Lonchura striata: one gene and its partner. Each later gene encodes a partner of the first gene's protein in a complex. Links are inferred from orthologs where the notes say so. Each region holds a gene or a part of one and is shown in the gene's direction. Other genes may lie near its edges.

What was found.
Region 2: PIGC (region 1) and PIGY share a complex: the UniProt entries of both Homo sapiens proteins name them as parts of the glycosylphosphatidylinositol-N-acetylglucosaminyltransferase (GPI-GnT) complex. The link is inferred for Lonchura striata from reciprocal best matches to the Homo sapiens genes PIGC and PIGY.

The regions. Positions count from the first base shown.
Region 1 is NC_134611.1:410,346-420,471, forward strand, and holds PIGC (phosphatidylinositol N-acetylglucosaminyltransferase subunit C), read left to right. Parts: upstream 1-5,353; 5' UTR 5,354-5,365; coding exon 5,366-6,244; 3' UTR 6,245-6,353; downstream 6,354-10,126. UniProt on the Homo sapiens protein: Part of the glycosylphosphatidylinositol-N-acetylglucosaminyltransferase (GPI-GnT) complex that catalyzes the transfer of N-acetylglucosamine from UDP-N-acetylglucosamine to phosphatidylinositol and participates in the first step of GPI biosynthesis.
Region 2 is NC_134606.1:58,612,366-58,622,647, forward strand, and holds PIGY (phosphatidylinositol N-acetylglucosaminyltransferase subunit Y), read left to right. Parts: upstream 1-4,325; 5' UTR 4,326-4,357; coding exon 4,358-4,588; 3' UTR 4,589-5,037; downstream 5,038-10,282. Other genes in the region: putative E3 ubiquitin-protein ligase HERC4, read right to left, coding at 123-306, 1,348-1,427, 1,606-1,660, 2,679-2,851, 2,945-3,085, 6,405-6,524, 6,614-6,724, 7,930-8,025 and 3 more; PYURF (protein preY, mitochondrial), read left to right, coding at 3,428-3,480, 3,819-4,067, 4,184-4,325. UniProt on the Homo sapiens protein: Part of the glycosylphosphatidylinositol-N-acetylglucosaminyltransferase (GPI-GnT) complex that catalyzes the transfer of N-acetylglucosamine from UDP-N-acetylglucosamine to phosphatidylinositol and participates in the first step of GPI biosynthesis.

The DNA.
Region 1 (10,126 bases):
CAGCAGTGCCAGAACATGGGAGGGTGGCACAGCCCACACAGGAGCACCAGCAGCTCTGCTGGATCCCAGCGGTGGGGATGAGGGACACAAAGGGCTGACCAGGCACACACAGGGAGCCACACAGGCTCAGCCACCTCCCTTCCCCTTTCTGCCGACTGCTGAAACAAACTGAATTCCCACCTGGCCCCATCCCCTCCCTGCCAGCTATGTACAAACAGGCAGAGGGTAGGGGAGTGGCTGGCAGCAGGAGTGTCACTCCTCAGGGACTCCTGCTCCAGGGGAGCAGAATACCGGGCAGCCCTGCCCCGTGGTTTGGGACAGGAGGAGCTGGTTTTGCAGGGAGAAGCACTGCAGGTGTGAAACACCCCTCAGCCCCACATCACTGCTCTTACCGAGCACCTGGGCTCCTGCTTGGAGCTCCAGGGGAGAGGGCAGGAAGGGCTCCTGCTGTGAGTATCTCCTGGGAAATCACTGTGTTTCCAGACTGAGGCCATGCTGTGTTTGAACAAAAGCTTCTTTATTCTTTACTAGGCAAATAGGAAGGTGAGCACAGAGCAGGATCCTCTCACAGCACACCAGGCTGAAACAGGGAGTTGCAACCTCTTTTTGACCTGTGCACAGCAATTTTTCCCCAGCTACACTTCCTAGAAAAACCAACAGTGTGTGCATACACGGTTTCCTCCAATATCCCCCTTTACAGAATGAAAATGTCTCCATGGCAGACATACAAACCTTGTTACAAACTCTGGGTCCTTCACACTTCTCCCCCTGTGTCCCAGAGCTGCAAGGGGAGGGAAGTGGCTGCTGTAGGAGGCTCAGGGCAGGCAGAGTTAGCACTGGGGAGCTGCTGTGGGGCTCCATCCCTTGGGGGGACATTGCTTTTGCCCTCTGTGCAGTTGGGTTTTCCGTGTTTTGCCACCTGCAGCTCTTGATGCCTTTCCACCAACTGTGGAAGAGCTGGGTCAGCAGTTCACATCCCATCCCTACACTACACATTTAGGGCTAAACAAGGTGGAACAGTGAGAAACCTCTTGGCAAAGCTTTGTTTTGGGGCCCCAGCCCTGCTGTGCCAGGTCTTGGAGACACCCGTGTGGACTGTAAGACCTTCCTTGTTCCCAAACCTCGGTTTCCAGCTTCCATGACAACCCATGCTCAGGTCCCAGGGGCAGTTTTATTATTTTATCCCCAGGTGTGGTTTCCTTCCTGCATCTCTGTGCTAGAGATGTGCCACATACAGCTGAAGCTTGAGCTGAGCTTACCTGAGCTGCTGAACTTTGGACTCATGCCACCCTGGAGCACCCTGCAACTGGCAGAGCACATTGCTAATGTCACCTTTGGCTGTAGTTTCCTAGAGTTTTGTTTGTTTTTTTTTTTTTCTTTTAAAGCAGATTATAAACAAAAACATCTTTACTAGGTGACAGCTTGACCCTGATGGAGTTCCCCTGCAAAACAGGTCCTGCTGTGACCTACTGCCCTGGAGCTGGCCAGGCCCTGGGCTGGGCTGGCTTGTCCCTTTTTCCAGAGCCCGGAGTGGGTGCTGGGACAGCTCCAAAGGGCTGTGGAGATCCATGCTGACCGTCAGGGAATGCCAGCAGTGAGGGAGCTCAGTTTCAAACCCTCCCCACGTGCTGTGTTCCAGAGGTCACATCCCTGCAGACACGTACCTTTCCACATGTCATCTCTCCTGCCCCACATTCTCAGCCAGACCCTCAGCCTTCCCATCCTTCTCCCCCTGCAACAGGCTCAGCAAATCCCAAACCTTGCCCAGGCAGATGCCAGTCCAGTGTGGGCTTCTCAGACCCAATCCCATTTTCCTGGACTGCTCAGCCTGGCTCTGAGCAGGGTTTCTCCAGCAGCCTTGGTACCTCCTCATCTCAGCTCAGGAAATCTGACCTGCACGGAGGAAAGGGAGAGCCTGGGAGAGCTGGAGCAGCACCAGACTCCTCCGTGTCTGGGCCCTGCAGGGCTCCCCAGGCAAGCAGCCCTGTCTGCCCCAGTATCCCCCTATGGGGCTCAGCCCAGCTGCAAGGCACTGGGCTGGTGTCGTCCCAGTCCGTGCTGGGGACTGAATCCAAACAGTCCTTAAATAGGTGACTGCAGGAGAGCAGGCATAGCCTGTGTCATGGGGCCTTTAAGGCAGGAGACATCTCTGGACATGGAAAAATGCAGCAGCTGGAGCTGCGCCAACCTCCCCCCTCCTGAACAACATTCCTGTGAGGGACGGTTTGGCTCCAGGGTCAAAGGGGAAGGCTTGGGGGATGGCTCGGCAGAGAAATGAAGCCCAAGAATCCACGGCTGTGCCGTGTCATTCCTGCGGGGTGACACGCAGGGATGCAGGGAAGAGCCCTGTCTGAGGGACAGGGAGGGGTACGGGATCCGTCCTCATCCGTGCAGCCTCAGGCCGCTCGGAGCCTTAGCAGAGTGTGCTGCTCAGTTACTGTGAGGCCTGTCCCTGCAGCACAAGTGATGGGCCCGTCCCGGGGGAATCAGACACACCTGGAGGCAACCCTGAGCCAGCGGTGGGGATGCAGTGCCTGCCATACTTTGGTATTCAAATAGCTCCAGTGGAAGTCCAGAGCAATCCCAGCTATTTCAGTTCCAGCCTGTCACCTTTTCCAGCCTTCCCTCCAAACAACTTCAGCAGTGTATCCCAACATTCAGAGGTGGCAGACACTGAACAAACCTGTAGTGGGGTCCCTTTGCAGGAGGCAGGGCAGAGCCAAGCCTCAGCATACACGGAGTTTGTAGGGCCATGGCACCCAGCTCCTCATCGCTGCATTTCAGCAGAGGAGCTCCAAACACTCCAAGCCACCCCACAGCCTCTCCAAAGGCCAGTGGCACTTGGAGACTTGTGAGGTGAGGGAGGTCTTGTGGCACAGAACCCGGAGTGGGAATTTAGATGTTCACAAAGGACTTTTGTATTCTTGACCTTAGCTGTTGCTTATCCCTTCCAGGAGAGCTCCCAGGAGGGGTGAGAGATGACTCCATGGCACAAGGTCCCCTCTGAGCAGCAGGGCTGGCTGGTGACAGTGACGTGGCAGGTCCTGTGGTGAGGGACAGCTGTGCAGGCAGGAGTCGCTGCCCTGCAGCAAAGTCTGGGCCACCTGGGCAGGGCTGAGCTGCCCTTTGCACCGTGGCCGGTTCCATCACACGTGGCAGTCACACGCTGTCCCCTCCCAGGGACAGTGCCAGCACAGCAGTCTGCTTCGTCCCAGACCCTGCTGGGGTCTCCCAGGCACCGGGTGGGTGCCCGGCCCTGTGGGCCTCGGCACTGGCTGGCATTGCCAGGGGGGCAGAGCCAACGGCAGAGATCCCCTTGTCTGGCTGGGCACCCGTGTGGGGCTCCAGCCGCCGTGCTGGATCTGCCAGAGGGGTTTGGCTTTGCTGGCATCACCAGCGTGGCTCAGGAGCGCTGTGAGTCACTGACCTGCCCCAGCCTCCCGCCTCTCCCTGCCTCCAAAGGCACTTTGCTGGCCCACAGCAGAGATTTGAAAGGGTACATGAAGTACCCCTCACCTCTGTTCTCTCCGCTGAGGTTTCTACGTGAACCTGACCACGTGGAAGCAGCCTCGTGCTCCAGCCCAGCCTGCTCTTCTTGGTCCCCAAAGATCACAGATGTGCAGACAGCCCAGGGCCAGGTTACAGCAAACCTGCTGTCACCACCCACAGCGAGAGTGCAGCATTGCCGTGCCCATGCCCACGGGAGGTGGAATTCCTCGTCTGTGGTGGTCGTGGCACTTTTCAGAGCAGCAGGAATGGCACTCTGCTCTCCCAGCTTTCCTCCTGCATGCCCCAGCTTTACTCTATGACTTTGGGAGAAGGACATTTCGTTCAAAATCTCAAGTTCCCAGGCCCTGGGCACCAAGGCAATGCCAGCAATCACAGGAGCTGGCAGCACTCCCTGTTCCTGTGGGCACTGCCTTGTGCACATGGAGGCATGTGCATGCCTCTGTGCAAAGCGTGGGGCTGGGGGCTTTTAGGGAGGGCAGCTGAAACTGAGTCCAGCTCCATCCTGGCTTGGAGCCTGCTGGCATCGCCCCTTGGCATGGGCTACCTGCACAGGGTGAGCAGCTGCCTCTGCCCTGCCGAGCAAGTGCAGTGACACGGGGCTGGGAGGTGGCACTCGTGAGATGTCACTGTGGTATGGCTCAGCCTGAGGTCCCCCACAGGCACAGCAGCAGTGTGGGTGTTACCTGCTGCTCTGCACGTACCTGGATGAGGTGGGATCTGTTTGCAAAGTCTCCTGTGACAGGCCCGGGGTGAAAACAACCAACAGCTCCTCCGCCTGTTGCCGCTGGGACAGCAGGGCCATGAACGCCCTTCCCACAGCACAAACAGGGCACTGTTCAGGGCTGCTTTGCCCCGGGACGAGGCCTCTCGGCTGAGGCCAAATTAAGCAGCTCCTCAGCAGCAAGAACTTCTCAGGGGCTGGGAAGGCTCTGACCTGAGCACAAGCAAATACAGGCTTGGAGAAAAGACCTCTGGCCTCTGTGAAACCTTCCTTAATCCTCCCTGTCCTCTTGCTGCACCTGCTGAGTCCCTTTGGTGTGGACATGGGCGGCACAGGAGATGGATGGAAGTCCCTGCAGAGCTGCGCCTCTCCAGCCCTGCTTTCCTCCTCCTGCTCCTCTCTCGGGCAGGGCAGGACTGAGCTGTGAGCAGGCAGGAGCTGCAGGGAAAGGGCGCCCTGTAGCATCACACCCACATTCCTGAGCTGGCTGCTGGAGCCTGGTTTGGCCAGAAAAGCAGGTGCCTCTCTGGACCGGGACACGGAGTGGGGCTTGCAGCGCGGGCTGAGGTCACGCTCCCAGCAGCACCGGGATATGCAAGCACAGAGAGGCTCTGGCTAAACCCCATCGGCCGGCTCTGCCCTTCTCGGCGGCTGCCTTTGGGCTGCAGGGAGACAGCCCTTGGGAGCAGGGCAGCAGCATCCCTCCTGCCCGCTGGGCCGCCGGCTTACGGGGCTGGGCAGAAGCGAGACAGCCCCAGCAGGCACCGGCAGCAGCTGCCAGAGGGACACGGCCTTGCGGCTCTCGGGATGGGCAGATCCCAGCACGGAGCTGCGGTGTGCCTTAACCCACCCCCAGAGGCTGCTGAAGCTCACACGGGGCGGCGGGAGAGGGCGTGACCCATCTCAGGCGTGACGGTGCCGGACCCGAGTGCCGGTCCCGTCCCGGGGCTCCGGCCCGTGTCCCGGGGCTCCGGCCCGTGTTGTCCCGGGGCTCCGGCCCGTGTTGTCCCGGGGCTCCGGCCCGTGTTGTCCCGGGGCTCCGGCCGGGAGGTGGCGCCCGCGGGCGCCCCGGCGTCCCTTGCGCCACCTCCGGCGGCGGCGGTGCCGCGGAGTCCCCCCGCCCGTGCCGGGGCCATGGAGCCGGGGCCCGGGCGGCGGTGGCAGAAGGTGCTGTACGAGCGCCAGCCTTTCCCCGATAACTACGTGGACCAGCGGTTCCTGGAGGAGCTGCGCAAGAACGTGCACGCCCGGCAGTACCGGTACCAGGCCGTGGTCTTCCAGTCGGGAGCCGTGGTGCAGCAGCTGTGCAGCGTCTGCGTCTTCGTGCTCACCTGGTGGTACATGGACGCCGGGATGCTGAGCCCGCAGGGGCTGTTCGGAGCGGCGCTGGCGTCCTCCCTGCTCGGCTATGTCCTGTTCGACGCCGTGGACGGCGGGGCCGGGCGCTGGGCGAGCGGGCGGATGCGCTGGGCTGACCTCAAGAGCACGCTGGTGTTCGCCGCCTTCACCTACGGCTTCTCGCCGGTGCTGAAGACGCTGACCGAGTCCATCAGCACGGACACCATCTACGCCATGTCAGCCCTCATGCTCCTGGGGCACCTCATCTTCTTCGACTACGGCGCCAACGCTGCCATCGTGTCCAGCACGCTGTCCCTCAACATGGCCATCTTCGCCTCGGTGTGCCTGGCCTCGCGCCTGCCTCGCTCCCTGCACGCCTTCGTCATGGTGACCTTCGCCATGCAGATCTTCGCGCTGTGGCCCATGCTGCAGAAGAAGCTGAAGGCCCGGACTCCCCGGTGCTACGTGGGGGTGACGGTGCTCTTTGCGCTGGCAGCGCTGGCGGGGCTGGCCACGGTGTCCAGCGTGGGCGCCGTGCTCTTCGCCTCCCTGCTGCTCGCCGTCTCCTGCCTCTGCCCCTACTGCCTCATCCGCCTCCAGCTGCTCAAGGACAACATCCACGGGCCGTGGGATGAAGCTGAAATCAAGGAGGACCTCTCCAGGTTCCTCATGTAGGCCTGGCCCAGGGGGACCCTCTGCTGTGAGCTGTGAAAGGTCCTGGCTGGGGGACAGCCCTGTGGGGGAGGACACCTGAGCCAATAAATCTATCACAGGGCAACAAGGACCACTCTTGTGTTCCCCTCAGGACGTGTTTCCAGCCTTGTCTTGCGTGGGTGTGGTGAAGGAAGGAGCTGAGCCCGCAGGGGAGCGGGCAGGCGGGGAGGAGTCGGCTCTGGCCCCGGGTACAGGGGATGTGTCCCACGGTGTCCTCAGCCCCAGGACCCTCAGGGGGTGCTGGGCACTGCCGCACTCCCCGGGGAGGCTGGAGGGCAGGGCTGCTGATGGAGCTGCAGGGCCGAGCACCAGGGCTCGAACGGGGGCAGAGCCATCCTCACCTGCACCGTGGCCCTTGTGGGTGCCAAAATAGCCTCACACCACCGCCAGACACCACGTTACCCTAAATCCCTTAGGAGCTGGGGGGGGGATGAGAGGGCATCACGCCTTCCTCTCCTCTCTAACCCCTTTCCGGAGGCAGATCTGGCCTCGCTGCAGGGCTAGACCCCGAGGCAGAGGGATGGAGCTCAGCACATCCCCATGGGCACACATCCACCTGCGGGGGGATGCCAGGCTGCTGGGACAGCGGCAGGGATGACAACGGGCGTGGAGCTCCCACCGACCCCGTGTGTCCGGGGTCCGTCTGTCCGGGGTCCGTCTGTCCGACAGCGCTCCCACCACAACAGAGGGCGCTCCCGGCCAACGAGTGCCGCTGGGGGCCCGGCGGGACGGGCGGCCCCGGTGCGGGACCTCCCGGCGCTTTCCGTGTCCCCGTCCCTCGGCGAGCCCGGCCCTGCTCCGGCCAGCCCGGGGAGCAGAGCCCCGCGGGATCAAGGGATGCCCACACCTGCCCCAGCCTCGCAGGGCTGCATTTGGCATCGCCCCGGTGCTCATGGAACTTCTCTTTCGGAAAAGCTGCAGGAGTGCAGCTTCTGCTCCATTTTCCCCGTCGCAGCGAGCTGGCGCTTTTCATGCGCTCCTCGGGTTTTCTCGGAAATGAGCAACCCCCGGCGGAGTCCCCAACACCTCCAGTGCTTTCTTACTGCTCTTGCCAAGTGTTAAATGTTGCTGCTGTCGCCTCGGTAACGACTACATCTCATTTTGCTTTTAATTAAAACCTGTAGAAGTTTGGAGCCCGTGCTCAGGTCTCGCAGGGAGCACAGAGTAGCCAGATGCTCAGAGTCAGTGTGACATTTTTTAGCTCTGCAGGAAGGAGACTGTTTAGTCACAGGGGGGTTTCCCAGAAAGCTGCTCGGTGACCCCGATGTCCCATCTGAGACTGGGTTAATGCCAGTGTAACGCTGCCAACCCAAAAAGATTCACAGAGCAAGGCTGGACTATAAATCAAAAATAAACCAAATCTCGTCTGCTTGGCCCCAGGCTATCACAGCAGAGGCTGCAAGAAAGCAGAGTTTCTGTAGCACCCACTCCTCCATGGGGAAATACTTCCCCACAAAGTACCTTTCCCAAATTCACACTGTCAAAAGCAGCTGTGGGTTAGGAACACTGCAAGCATTGACCACTCAAACATTTCACGTGGTGGAGATGGGCACAGGCTGCCACCTGCGTCTCAGCCAGAGCAGGACCTGTGCAGATGCAGGGACTCGGATGCAGCAGGCTCCATCCCCCAGCTCCAGGGGCTGCAGACTGTCCCACCAGCCCTGCCCGCTGCCCACAGCCCCAGACCTCTCTGCTCTGCCCCATCCTTCCCTTCATCTCCTTAGAACGAGCCATAGGATTCTAGAATTACAACAGCCTCAGTCCTTGCCCAGAGACCCACTGGGGAAAGGCTCAGCCCTCCCCTCAGCTGCCCACAAGGATGGTCTGCCCACCCTAACCTGGGAAATGAAACCAAAACCCACAGCCTGGATGCACAAAGGGCTTTGAAGGAAGGAGGAATGCATAAGAGAGCCAGGGAGACACAAAGGGCAGGCAGGGTCTCCCTAGGACTTCCCTGACCTTCTCCTGAGGACGTGTGCTCTGCAGTGCTGTTGCTATTTAAGCTGCTGTACAAATGGCCATTACTGGTGTGTCTGCATGCCTGAGGTCAGAGTACCCTCTACAGAGCAGGATTTGGCCATAACTCTACATTTACCCACTAAAGCTGGATGTCCTTTGGGCATTTGCTCCCTGAGCAAATCCCCACTGAGACCCAAGAAGTAGGTCCTTGGCTGTTCATGCAACAAACACTTTATCAACTAACCCTAAGGGGTTAAATGTTCTTTTGCATTCCAAGTTTCTTTCCTTTAAGGTTCAGTCCCTGAGATCAGTCCTTCCTGGGACTTTTGGTTTGAAGCTGGCCAAATGAGAGCAGCTGTGAAGTGGCTGGGGATCAGCCTGGCTCCTGGGGGAGCTGCTGACACGTGCCAGCTGGGATCTCCATCTCCAGCTTTGCTGCAGGGAAAAGCCAGTGTCAGCCACCCACCCCGCTGTCAGGGGCCCACGTCCCTCCCCACGTGGGGGCCTGGATCTGGGAAGCCTGTGAAGAACAAAGCTCGGCTCTTTGATCAGGAAACCCAAACAGGATTTTGGTCCTAACCCATCCACTGCCCTGTAGTGTCACTGGTGCAGCAGCCTTGTCCTTCTGCCCCTGGCCACACCACCAGGGCAGGCTGCAGACTGCACAGACAAGGTGCAACAGCTTCTTCAGAAAGCCACCCTGTGAGCTGATGTTGAACAATGTGCCAGGGCTTCCCAACACACCAGCTCCTGTGCCTTTCTACTGAATAGATTTTAGAAATGGTCCTATTTTCAACAATATTTTTTACCAAATATTTTGTAAGAAGGTAAAGATTTGTGTGGAGGATTTACCAGCATAAAATGCCCCAAGAGACCAGTATGTGCCTTCCAGCCTAATGTGTGGAGGCCAGCAGGCAGCTGGGAGCTCAGCAACAGCTCCTGGCTGGGTGCTGTGGTCAGGCCAGTGAGCTAAAATATCATCCACCTTTATCTGCTGTTGGTACCGTGTTGTAGCACAGAGAATGGATTGCAGGGAGAGCTTCCCCCAGCGCGGAACGGATTTTTGAACAACCTGGAGAAAAAGCAGCTTGTAAAGTTCAGTCTACCCCCCTTCCCTTTTACCTGAGGCATGGGCAGAACCTCCTTAAGAGCTCACCAGGTACAAACACTGCTGCTTCTGCAGTACTCCTGACAGTGCACAATTCCTGAACTCTGCTGAGGAGTTTCTGCCTCAGCACCTGATGGGTTCCACAGGTGAAAGCTACAGCCACCCTCAGCTATTCCATGCTTGGGAGTAGCTTTCCTGGAACTGTAGATCCAGTTGTCTTCCAGTTGTTTTCCTGGAACTGTAGGTCTCCATTGCTCCTGGCCCAGTCCCAGCAATTCCTAGTTTAGCATATGCAGTTCAAAGGTATAGCACTTCTTACTACACCGTTGCTGTTTCTTTCTTCTTGGTCTACCAATAGACCAAGTGAGAAGTCAGAAGAAGGAAAATTGTCTATAAGTCTACAGCTTTCTGGGTTTATATCCCCTTATATTTTGAGCAAACTCAGTGTCTGGTATTTACCAGCTCATACAGGTGGTTCAGCAGCTCTCTGGATATTTTAGAGGTCAGCGGGACCCAAATCAGCTGCAACAAGAGGAACTGCCCAATTTCAGCAAAGCTGTCAGACCAGCCTTGAGAACAAGCACAGGCTGGCTGTCACCTGGCCTCCTGCACACACCCAGATCTCATCCCCTCCTCTGCCCCATCCTGAGCAGAGCCCTGCAGCTCCCTGCCACCATCCCCTCCCTGCTGCCCGGGACCCTCTCGTTTGGGCCCCTGGAACACCAAGGCCAGTGCCCAGTGGTGCCTCCTTACCTGGTTTGTGAGATACCTCCTTG
Region 2 (10,282 bases), on another chromosome or scaffold:
TCAAAACAAGACAAAGTTCCTTGAGCTTCTGTCCATCTGTTATGCACTCAATGAAAGAACAGGTCAGAAGTAGTTTATGCTTATCAGACAGAACAGAAGGACACTGTGCTTGTATACAATACCTTTTCCAGCAGATGCCAGTCAAATGTTGTGCATCCCTGGAGAAGAACTTGCAGCTCTTCAGGGAAAAACATCTTCCAATTTCTAGCTGGGCAGCCTCTTAAGAACCCTTGCATAAAGTCCTCAAATGGCTTCTTTACTGATTTATTGAACATATAATTCACATACAAATCAACATATTCTTTCCTGCAACAGATACCAAACAAGCATTGGTGGTGCTTTTCTAAAAGAAGAATTACAGAGAACTTTATACTTAATTCCTTTATTCCATATGACCTGCTTTGGTGTACAGACTCAGTCTTCACTGAGATCAGTTGTCAATGGCAGTTAGTTTTTCACTGAGTAAGCTGGGAGCATCTTCAGAAATAAAAGCGAATGCTGGCCAGAATGGATTCATTTTGGTAACACTCCTTTTTCTTCATGTGAATGCTCCAATTCCTGTCAGACACCTGGTTATTATAAAAGATGGAACCTAGCAGACCTAACTCCCATTGAATGCCCAAGAATTTCCCTGAAATAGAAATAAATATTTGCATAGCTGTTAATAGTTTCACTCTTATCTCTACTTCAGATGGGGATTTGTGTAGTGACATTGTACTATATGATCAATTCAATGTAAATGCTCTACTTCAAGCTTCTTAAACAGCCCTTTCATGGATCCTTATGGGTCCTCAGGTCATCTGCATAATTCAGGACACAAAATTTATTTCTGTCCTCTGTGCAGAGATTAATATTGATACATAATAATACATAATAATACACATAATAATATTGTCATAAAGCCTTATTGATATATTTCTCCTTCTCCTTTATGTACAAGATACATTCCATACACATAACTAAGCAGGAAACATTTTGCTCTTAAAGAACCCTTACAGAGGTGTGCTGGGTTTCACAAACAAATGATTTGTTTCTGCCTGAAAATACTGTTCAAGGTTATTTTTTACATTTGTTAGGAATTTTCCTGTTAATGCCAGGTATCTGTATATGCAGATATCAGGATATCCAAGGATCACCATGTTATCCACTGCTTGCACAAACTGACAGTTTTTGCACGTGTGCAGCAAGTACAGCAGGAACTGAAAGTGTACAATCTACTGGACCAAGACTAATGGCACAAAACAGAAGTCAATATTTTCTAACAATATATGGGGATGGGTGCAGACATGTTATTTCATACATTTGTAACAAGAAAACAGGATTAAGAAATATAAAAATAAAACTGACCTGTTATCCTTAGTGACAGGAATGTTGGCACCATTTTCTTTAAGTTCAACAACATCCGTGGAATCTCCTCCTTCCATTATCTATGCAAATAAATTAAAACACTGGCTGCTCTATCTATATGTGACAGATATTTATGTGCTACACCTCTCATTCCTCCTGAAGGGCCTGACATGGCATTCACTAGTCTGAGTTTACAGACAAGTTGTGGTCTTTGCACTGGGACATGTCTTGCCTGAGTACCTACGTAGGATGTCTTACCGTGAAGTCCAAGTCCAAACTATCACTTTCATCATTCAAAATTTTCCGGAGACTCCTATCCAAACACAAAAGGGATCAAAGAGAGAAGAAATGTGAGCATTCAGCGCACTTGAAAATTCTGCTAAAAACATCTTTTGACAGGCAGTATTTAAATGCATACATGTACACAACACCTACACTTAGACATAAACATGATATATGGCACTGAAATTTCATCATGCTGCTGACATAAGCTCAGCACAAATGCCTCCAGTAAAAAATGTTCCCAGGCAAGTCCATCCCCATGCCCTGTGTGCACAACTTTACACAAAGTTCAGTGACAACTGGGTTTGGAATCATTGCTTCCAGACATTATCTAGTGAGGAATTATGTGTGCAACAGAGAGATGATCTGGGAGAATTGTTATGGGGTGCATCACCTTTCCAAGTATTGCAGGCAACCTTGTGTTCCAATTCACTGAGGAACCTCAGTGAATTTAGCACTTCAACACAGTCACTGGGTCATGGGATGGGGTTCTCATCTTCTTGGTTGCTTGTATCACTTGCCTGGAAAACTGGGCTTCAGGGGCCTCGAAGCATTATGTTGGTGGCAGCAGCACCTCTGCCCCTTATGCCTGCCTGATATCTCCTCTCCCAGTGCATGGAAACTTTGTACAAGGGTTCTCAGAATTGGCAGCACTTTGTAATACTGTACTTGTGCAAGGCAATATAGTGGAAATTGATAATTAGTAAATCAGGAAAAAAATCCCACCATTAATAATTGAGTCATTAGTTCTTTAAAGTCCAAACTACAGCCCTTATATATTCACAGGGTGGATTTAAACTCTGGTGGAGCAGAGATCTGACACCTTCTAAGTCACGAGGTTTGGCATTTTGTTTTGGCAATGCCAGCCTCTGAGAGCAACATCCATGCCCTGGACAAGGACCTCCTTGGAAATCTGACCAAGGACCTCCTTTGTGGCTTCTAGCAGCTTCACAAAGGCAAATGTAGATGCTGTGGGTGCCCCAAATTCAGCCTCTGGGATCTCCCAGTGCATGGTCAAGTCAAGGGACCCAGCCAAAGCTGGGTCATACCGGCCCATGGTTGGCAGCAGATCCTCAAGGTCCTCTAGGGTGGGGACCAGGTCCAGTAGCTTTTTATAGAGAGCCCTGGGGAAGGGGAAGGGCACCATGCGCAGGTTAAACAGGGCCATTCCACACAGTGTCCCAATTAAGAGGAAGGTGTCCTCATCCTCACAGCTTCGGGCCTGGTTAGGAACAAGCACAACTGGTTAGGAACAAGCCATGACTGCCTTTTCCCATAGGTGGGGCACCCATCCACCCCTGCAGGGCTGGCTTACCTCTCTGGGGAACCACACGAGGCCGGAGGCGAAGTGGCAGAAGGCACTGGTGCTGGGCTGGCAGAGGGTCCTGGCTGCAACACTGAAGAACTCCTGGGACACCGCACCTTCGTCCACCCCCATCTCACCCAAAAAAGACACCTGCAAGGCCCGAGACACCCGCAGATAGAGACATCCATGTTGGCCACAAAACCAGGTTCCTTACCTGGTATGCAACACGCCAGTAATTACACAACCGAGAGACGCTGATTATTTATCTCACAGTTGTGCCAAGCTGGGTACTCGGTAGTAATCCACAAATCAAGCACATTCCACCAGACTTTTTGAGCCATTATTTGTACACAGAAGTTCAGAGTTAGTAACTGTCCAAGTCTGTTATGCTTGGTTAGCAATTTTCAAACAAGTTCCTTAACCCCAGATAACTTCCACACATGCTCAGGGTAAGGGTCTTCAACTGGGCAGGGGTCTCACTGCCCTGTGGGCATGATTTTAACTATTACAATTAACACAGTTCAGCTACAGGCTACGTGGACCAAGTTAGCAATTCATATATGGACAAGTTAGCAATGTATATACATCAACATCTTCATTTACTGCATCTTTAAGGCTTTTCAGTTCCCGGATGTCCTTGGCTAGGGAATGCTGGCTGCTGCCTTTTCCACTGACTAGGTCTCCTTTTTTCCTGATTAAGCTTGACAGTGTCCAAAGATCACACATGGAAAGGCATCCGGCCTTAGGATAACCTTGATCCTCCGTGCCCTCGGAACGCCGCGCAGGGGCGGGCCGGGCAGAGCGCGGCGGAAGCGGCGGCCATGCTGCGGGGCCCGGCCCTGCTGCCGCTGCTGCTGCGGCGGCCGGCCCGCCCCGGCCCCAGCCCCGGCCCCGGCCCCGGCCCCGGCCCCGGCCCCGGCCCCGGCCCCGGCCCCGGCCCCGGCCCCGGCCCCGGCCCCGGCCCCGGCCCCGCGCACGGCCGGCACTGCCATAGCCAGCGGGAGCAAACCTCGGGCTCGGCCTCGGGATCCGGCCCCAACTCCGGCTCGGGCTCCGGCTCAGCGTGGCCGCAGCCCCTGGAGCCATCGCTGCTGCGCTTCCTGGTGTGCCCGCTCTCCAAGCGGCCGCTGAGGTGAGGATGGGGCGGGGGAGCCGCGCCCGAGCCCTGCGCGAACCCAGGTTAGTTAGTCCCTGCTCCTCATGTTTTCGCTTGGATGTTTCTCCCCCTCTCCTGACTTGGCTGACCAGGTACGAAGAAGCTACGAACGAGCTCATTAACGAGGAGCTGGGCATCGCGTATCCCATCATCGACGGCATCCCGAACTTGGTTCCGGAGGCGGCCAGGAGGACGAACAAGAAGCCGCCGGCCGAGGGTCCGGAGCAGCCGTGAGGAGCCGCCGTGCACGGCGCTCACCCGGCCTGATGGCCGGAGCAGGGCTGCTGCCCTCCCTGCCCACGCTGACTGTCCTCGTTCCCCTCCTGTCCCTGGCAGGCCTGTTCTACTCGGCCAGCGTGGACGAAAACTTCCCCCAGGGCTGCACCAGCACAACCAGCCTGTGTTTCTACAGTCTCCTCCTTCCTGTTACAGTACCAGTTTATGTGTTCTTTCACCTCTGGACCTGGATGGGGATTAAGCTTTTTAGGCACAACTAGTGCAGTGCCTTTGCTAACCCCTGGCTTCTCTAAATCAACATAATTTGTTTAATCTCATCAAGTATTGCAGTTCATTTTGAGAGTTTCCCTCTGGTACTAGGGACTGTCATAATTTTCCTGGTAGGATCTGGAACTGTAGGAAGCAGCAGCCCATTGTTAACTACTGCTAATGCACATGAAGGGTAGGAGTAATACAAAGCACTAATTCCCTCACTTTTATCCCTTCAAGAGTGCTGTGCATTTGTAGTGGGACTAATTAGAACCTTAGGTTTCATGAGGAAGAACTGTACCCTGACTGAATAAACTAGATTAAAATTAAAACATGCTATGATATGAATCTCTCTGAGAGCTTTGGGGCTTTTTAACCAGATGTGTGTACTGAAATATGTTTGTCTCACTGTCAGAAGAGCAAAAATTAAAATACATCAGGCTGGTGTTTAATAACAAGACTTGAGATGAGTCAATTGAAGACATTTCTTTCTGGGATGATACCCATGTCTGTATGTGAAGTACATGCAGATCTTTTCTTTCTAGGGCCACGATGAGAATGCCACATGCCAAGTTCTTAACAGCACACAGCTATGAAGGGAGCAGGCCAGTGCTACAATGAAGGTTTCTTCTTTATGTTTTGCTTTTGGGTAGTTTGTATCTGCAATGCAAAACATATTAATGTCCTTTGAAACATGAAATTGCTGAAAAATTAAGAAATGAGGCACCAAGTTGTAAATGCTGCACCAGGCTGTAAATGCTGTGGGACACTTAACAGTGCAGTTACATTTTTCAGGCTGCTGCTGAATAATATTGTGATGCACAGTGTGAAAGGCAGTGCTCAGGAGGTGTGCCCAAAGGCTGACTTGAGCTAAGGGCAGCTGGTTGTCAGAGCTTGTACAATAGGTGGAGACTTGAAATATAGAGGACAGTACAGAGCACACCCTCACTGCCTCTCTAAATAAATGCCTCTCTCAAATAGTGAGGAGCCAGGAAGGAAAGGTAGCTCTGGGAGTCTTTGTGAATTTTGTCCAAAGTAAATGGGAAAGAAAAGCCTTGACAACTCTGGTTGGCAAGAAAGCTCACTTGGAAAGCACCATGGCACCAAGGTCCGTGGTTCCTGTGGCACAAGCGTGGTGCCAGAATTTGTGTTAGTGGCAGGTGGGGCCCGTGGTCCCTGAGCTGAGCCCTGCTCTGGGCAGATGGCTGATGTCCCATTCCCACATCAGTCAGCTAACGGCTTTTGCAGGACAGGGCCAGCATCACGATTCCTGTGGGAAACGCAACTGCCACAACCTTCGGATCAGTGTGGAAGCCACAGATTAAAGGCACATGGAGACAGCAGCATTGTAATCAGATGCTCATCTCTCTGGCAGGCACTATCCTTCCTTCCCCTTCAGACAGCATCTCCATGAGAGAAATGTAGTTTTGTGGCTGTGTTGCTTGCTGACCCCTCAGGCTGCTTCCCCAGACGCTGGGGTTTTAATGTGCTAGAAGGAAGTCTCAAAAGTCAGTCTAGCAGCAACAGTACATGACTTTGATGACTGAGCAGTTCTATTCCATTACCTCAAAGCCACTTCACAGTAAACAGCACTGCCACTTGCATTTAACTTATGCCAACAAAGCTGCCTGGAATAAGGAAATGCCGCCTCCAGATTTACCCTACACCATCTAGGGAACATGTTTTATAATAATTTGAGGAGCAGTTCTTTTGCTGGATGCTCAGAGGATACTGAATCCCTTCTGCCAATATACAGTAACACTGAAAATCAAAGAACACTGCAGCAAGATACTAAGAGCTAACAAGTAATACAATTTAGTATCTTACCTTTAACATCTTCCTGAAATCTTGGTTTGAGGCGGTTTTTAAATTTTTCCACATATCCTGGAGAAGGCAGTGTCTTCGGACGCAAAAATTCCATGCCTCAGGGATGCATATAAAGGGCATCTGAATAAAGGGTATCCAAGGATTGAAGTAACAGTCTGTTAGCAGTGTGTTTATCTCTTCTGATTGGTAACAAAATTGGCTGCACTTACAATAGGGTGCATGGTCTTGGACAGAAGAACCCTGCATTCTGTAGTATGAACGCAGATCTTCTTTTCCCTTTCGAAGATGCATGGATACTTGCTCAGCCTCTTTAGGACTGTCTGAAAGGACAAGGAAGAAAAGACATGCTGATTTTCCCTTGCAAAACCAGAGCTCAGGGACATATCTGCAGACTGAACTGTCAGTCTGTACCCTGGCAAAGTTCCGTGTCTCTGAAATGAGACTTCGAGTGCATGAACACTGCAGTAACAGAGGTTCACATCCTAAAAACGGCTCCTACACACTCCTGTGAGTGAGAAGCAGAGAGAGGCATCTAACCTCTCTGTGCAGACAGACACTTGTCTACAGTAGTGCCTCTAGAATAAAACAGAGTAATTTTAACAGTATCTTCCATAATTCAACTAAACCAAAATGTCCTGGATACTCAGGTTATGACATACTGTTTTTAAAAACTGCTGGGTTTATTATATGTAATTCCAAAACCAGATGCTGATCTAAAAAAACAATCTAATTTAAAGTGTTACACCTACAGTGTGATAAGGTACCAACTTCAGGTAACATGCTAATTGGCTTTTGATTCTATGCTGTTGCTCAAACTTCCTCCTCCACTCTGGCTAATTGGTACAAAATTGGTACATTAGCAAACAAAAGCTTTTGAAGGAATTAGCCCATTGCCCTACAAATTGCATAAAAGCTTACTTTTTTTTTTTTTGCCAAAGGAAACTCCTACTATGCACATTTCCATTTCATGCTGCTTCCTCTGACACTGACTGCATTTGGTAGCTAATTTTCACTCTGTGTCAAGAAATGCCACAGATTATTTTTTATTACCACAGCTTTGTTTTAAGATGTAAATACATTGAAATGCTCAATAGGATTTCTAAATAAAAGTTTAAAGACACCTCAAAATACTTCTCTTAATTAAACATAATAAAATCCAGAGAAACACAAAAGTATAGAAACAATCTCTCGTGCTGTTATTTCACAATGATTATTAGTTCAAAGCAAACAGAGCTGTTTTAAGATGCTGGAGGGCAGCTCCAACTCTCAGAACCAGAGATGGGATCATCTCAGGAAAGATAGCTGCTGGATAACTGTAGCTGCTGGAACACTGGGATGGTAAAGAGCTTGCATAATTTAGAGCTTTGGAGGACTAGGGAAAATGAGGTGCCTTTGAAATGCGCTGGGTTAGTCTCTAGAGTTTGCTTCTATGTATATATATAGATGTAGGTATATATATAGATATATATAAACTATTTAAATTTAAAAAATAGTGTTCTGCACTGCTGGAAAGATTTATACTTACTACTGTATAGAAGCGTGAACATATGTCAATAATCCCTCCCACTTCATGTACATGGAAGTTCCTTTCACATACTCTGAAACCAGTTTTGGAGTTCACCTGCATTGAAACACACAATATATCAACAGCAGAACTAGTGAGCTGTGTCTGTCTGGCAGGACAGGACTGACAGAGCTTTCTTCAGAAAGGGTTCTGAGACCCTGCACAGAAGTTATGGGATAAAAGTGCTCAAGAAGCACAGTGCTCCACAGTGGGAAGTCTTAGAAAGCCATGTATAAACTAGAAGGAAAGCAATTTTCATCTACAATTAAGATCCCTTAACAGGACTCCATCAGAAAAAGTGTATTTCCCTTGGAGTGTCTTTCATGTTTCCACAATTCTCTATTCATGTTCCTCATTGTTGTCTGGAAAAGATATTTGCAGGGGGATAGTGAAGATTTAAAGCTCCAAATCATGTAATCACAGAGGAATAGGCCTGCTGCAATTTTTAGTTTATTTATCTGCATAAATACAAATTTGAGAGTCTAAACTTTGTGGCCCAATTCTGCATTCTCGGCCAAAACGATATTCAAGTCTGAACAAAATTTAACAAGTCTGATTTATACTGTGTGCTCGAGCCTTTAACTTTCATAAACTTTGAACATCTCCACAGGAGAAAGTATGGTTGTCCAGAAGAACACAGTTATTGCTTCCTTTGTTTCCCTTGTTCATGTACAGCTAAAGAGGTTCTAATGCTGTTGTCCCAGAGAATTTGTCAGGTTAAGCATCACAGAGCATTACTGTGGCAGCCACAATGTGCCAAACAGATAAGAGGTCTTTTAAATGCTCTGAGCAGTTACTGGGATGAGGGATCTCACCAGCAGAAAGGGGAATGGGCATGTTACATACAGGACACTACATCCATAGCTGTGCAGGCATCAATAGATGCACTCCTGACACCACTGAAAGCATTCTTCCCGCTCTCATGGCTCTAACATGCTTTAGCTCTTCATTTCTACAGAGGCTCAGTTTGACACAACTCAAGCAGGGCTTCTTCAAAACTCTGCTGGTGTAGAGCCAAAGCAGTGTCAAACCCAGAGAATTCAATAAGTGAGAAGCATTAAAATACTGTAGGCTACACTGAGATATCCTGTCTAATTTGGATTCAAACACCTTCTCACCTGGTAAAGCATCTGCAGTATTTGCAGAGGCCCAGTTTTAACTGGGTCCAGGTTGAAGAGGCTTGGCCCTATCATCATGATCTCCTGGACAACTGAGAGCAGAATTTTCTGGGAAACCCTCTGATACAGAATGACCAGCTTCTTGAAAAAGGATGTCTCTAGATTTGACCATAGGCATTCTGTAAAGAAAATAGTGAGGTCACAGGTAACATACAGATCACTGCAATTTGTGGGTGAAGCTGTTTTTTCTTTTTATGAAATTAATTGAAAAAAAAAAAAGTTTAAGCTTGCACTACAAAAACTATTAAACCTCAGACAGAATGTTTTAAATTCTTGTGCCTTGCTGCATAGTCCCCATGTTTCTATGTCTATCAAAAGCAATTATTTCAAGCTCTTGCATACATTACATCAGTGATAATAACTCTTTGTTCTGCAGAAGAAAATTACCAAGCATTTAAATCATTCAGTTCTACCATCATATAACCCTACCAAGAGTTTGCAGGCCCTGTGGCTGGAGCTTCATGATGGCTTCAGCCAGAAGGATTAGAGATAGGATAGTGTCTTCATCGTTCCCCTGTAGAAGGAAAGGCAAGATCAAGTAGACTCTGCAATTTTCAGGTGAGATGGGAGAGGAAGACAACAATGGCAGTAAATTCCTAATCTCCTTTTGCACCTTCAGAGGGGACAAAAAAAAAAAAAAATAAAAAGAGACAAGGGTTAAAATGCAATTATATTTTGCCAAAGTAATTAGGTTGGCATGAAATTCCTAAGTTTCATGCACAAATCCAAATCTCTTCAGCATCTCTGCAGTGAACAGCCTTATATCAAATCCTTACCTCCTGGTAGACTATTTGGTTTTTACTGATCTTCCCATAAAAATGTTTCACTTCTGACATGTCTACACCTGAGACTTCTCTGGAAGTTTTGAAGTGTTTGTCTCTATCACAACATAAAAAAAAAAAAGAAGACTAAATAATTTTTCTACTGAATAATGAAGCATTGTAATATCAGAAAATACTTTGAAAGTTCAGCCCCAGCTCCCATGGGTATAATTTCATGTGTTCTAAGAAGACAGACAACACAAACCACTGTTTTGTGACTTGATTAACATTCTGTCCTTTCTGTCTTGTGTGGCTGTGAACTATTAATGGTAGACTCCTGTATTTCACCCTAAAATGACTCCCACTTCAGTGCCA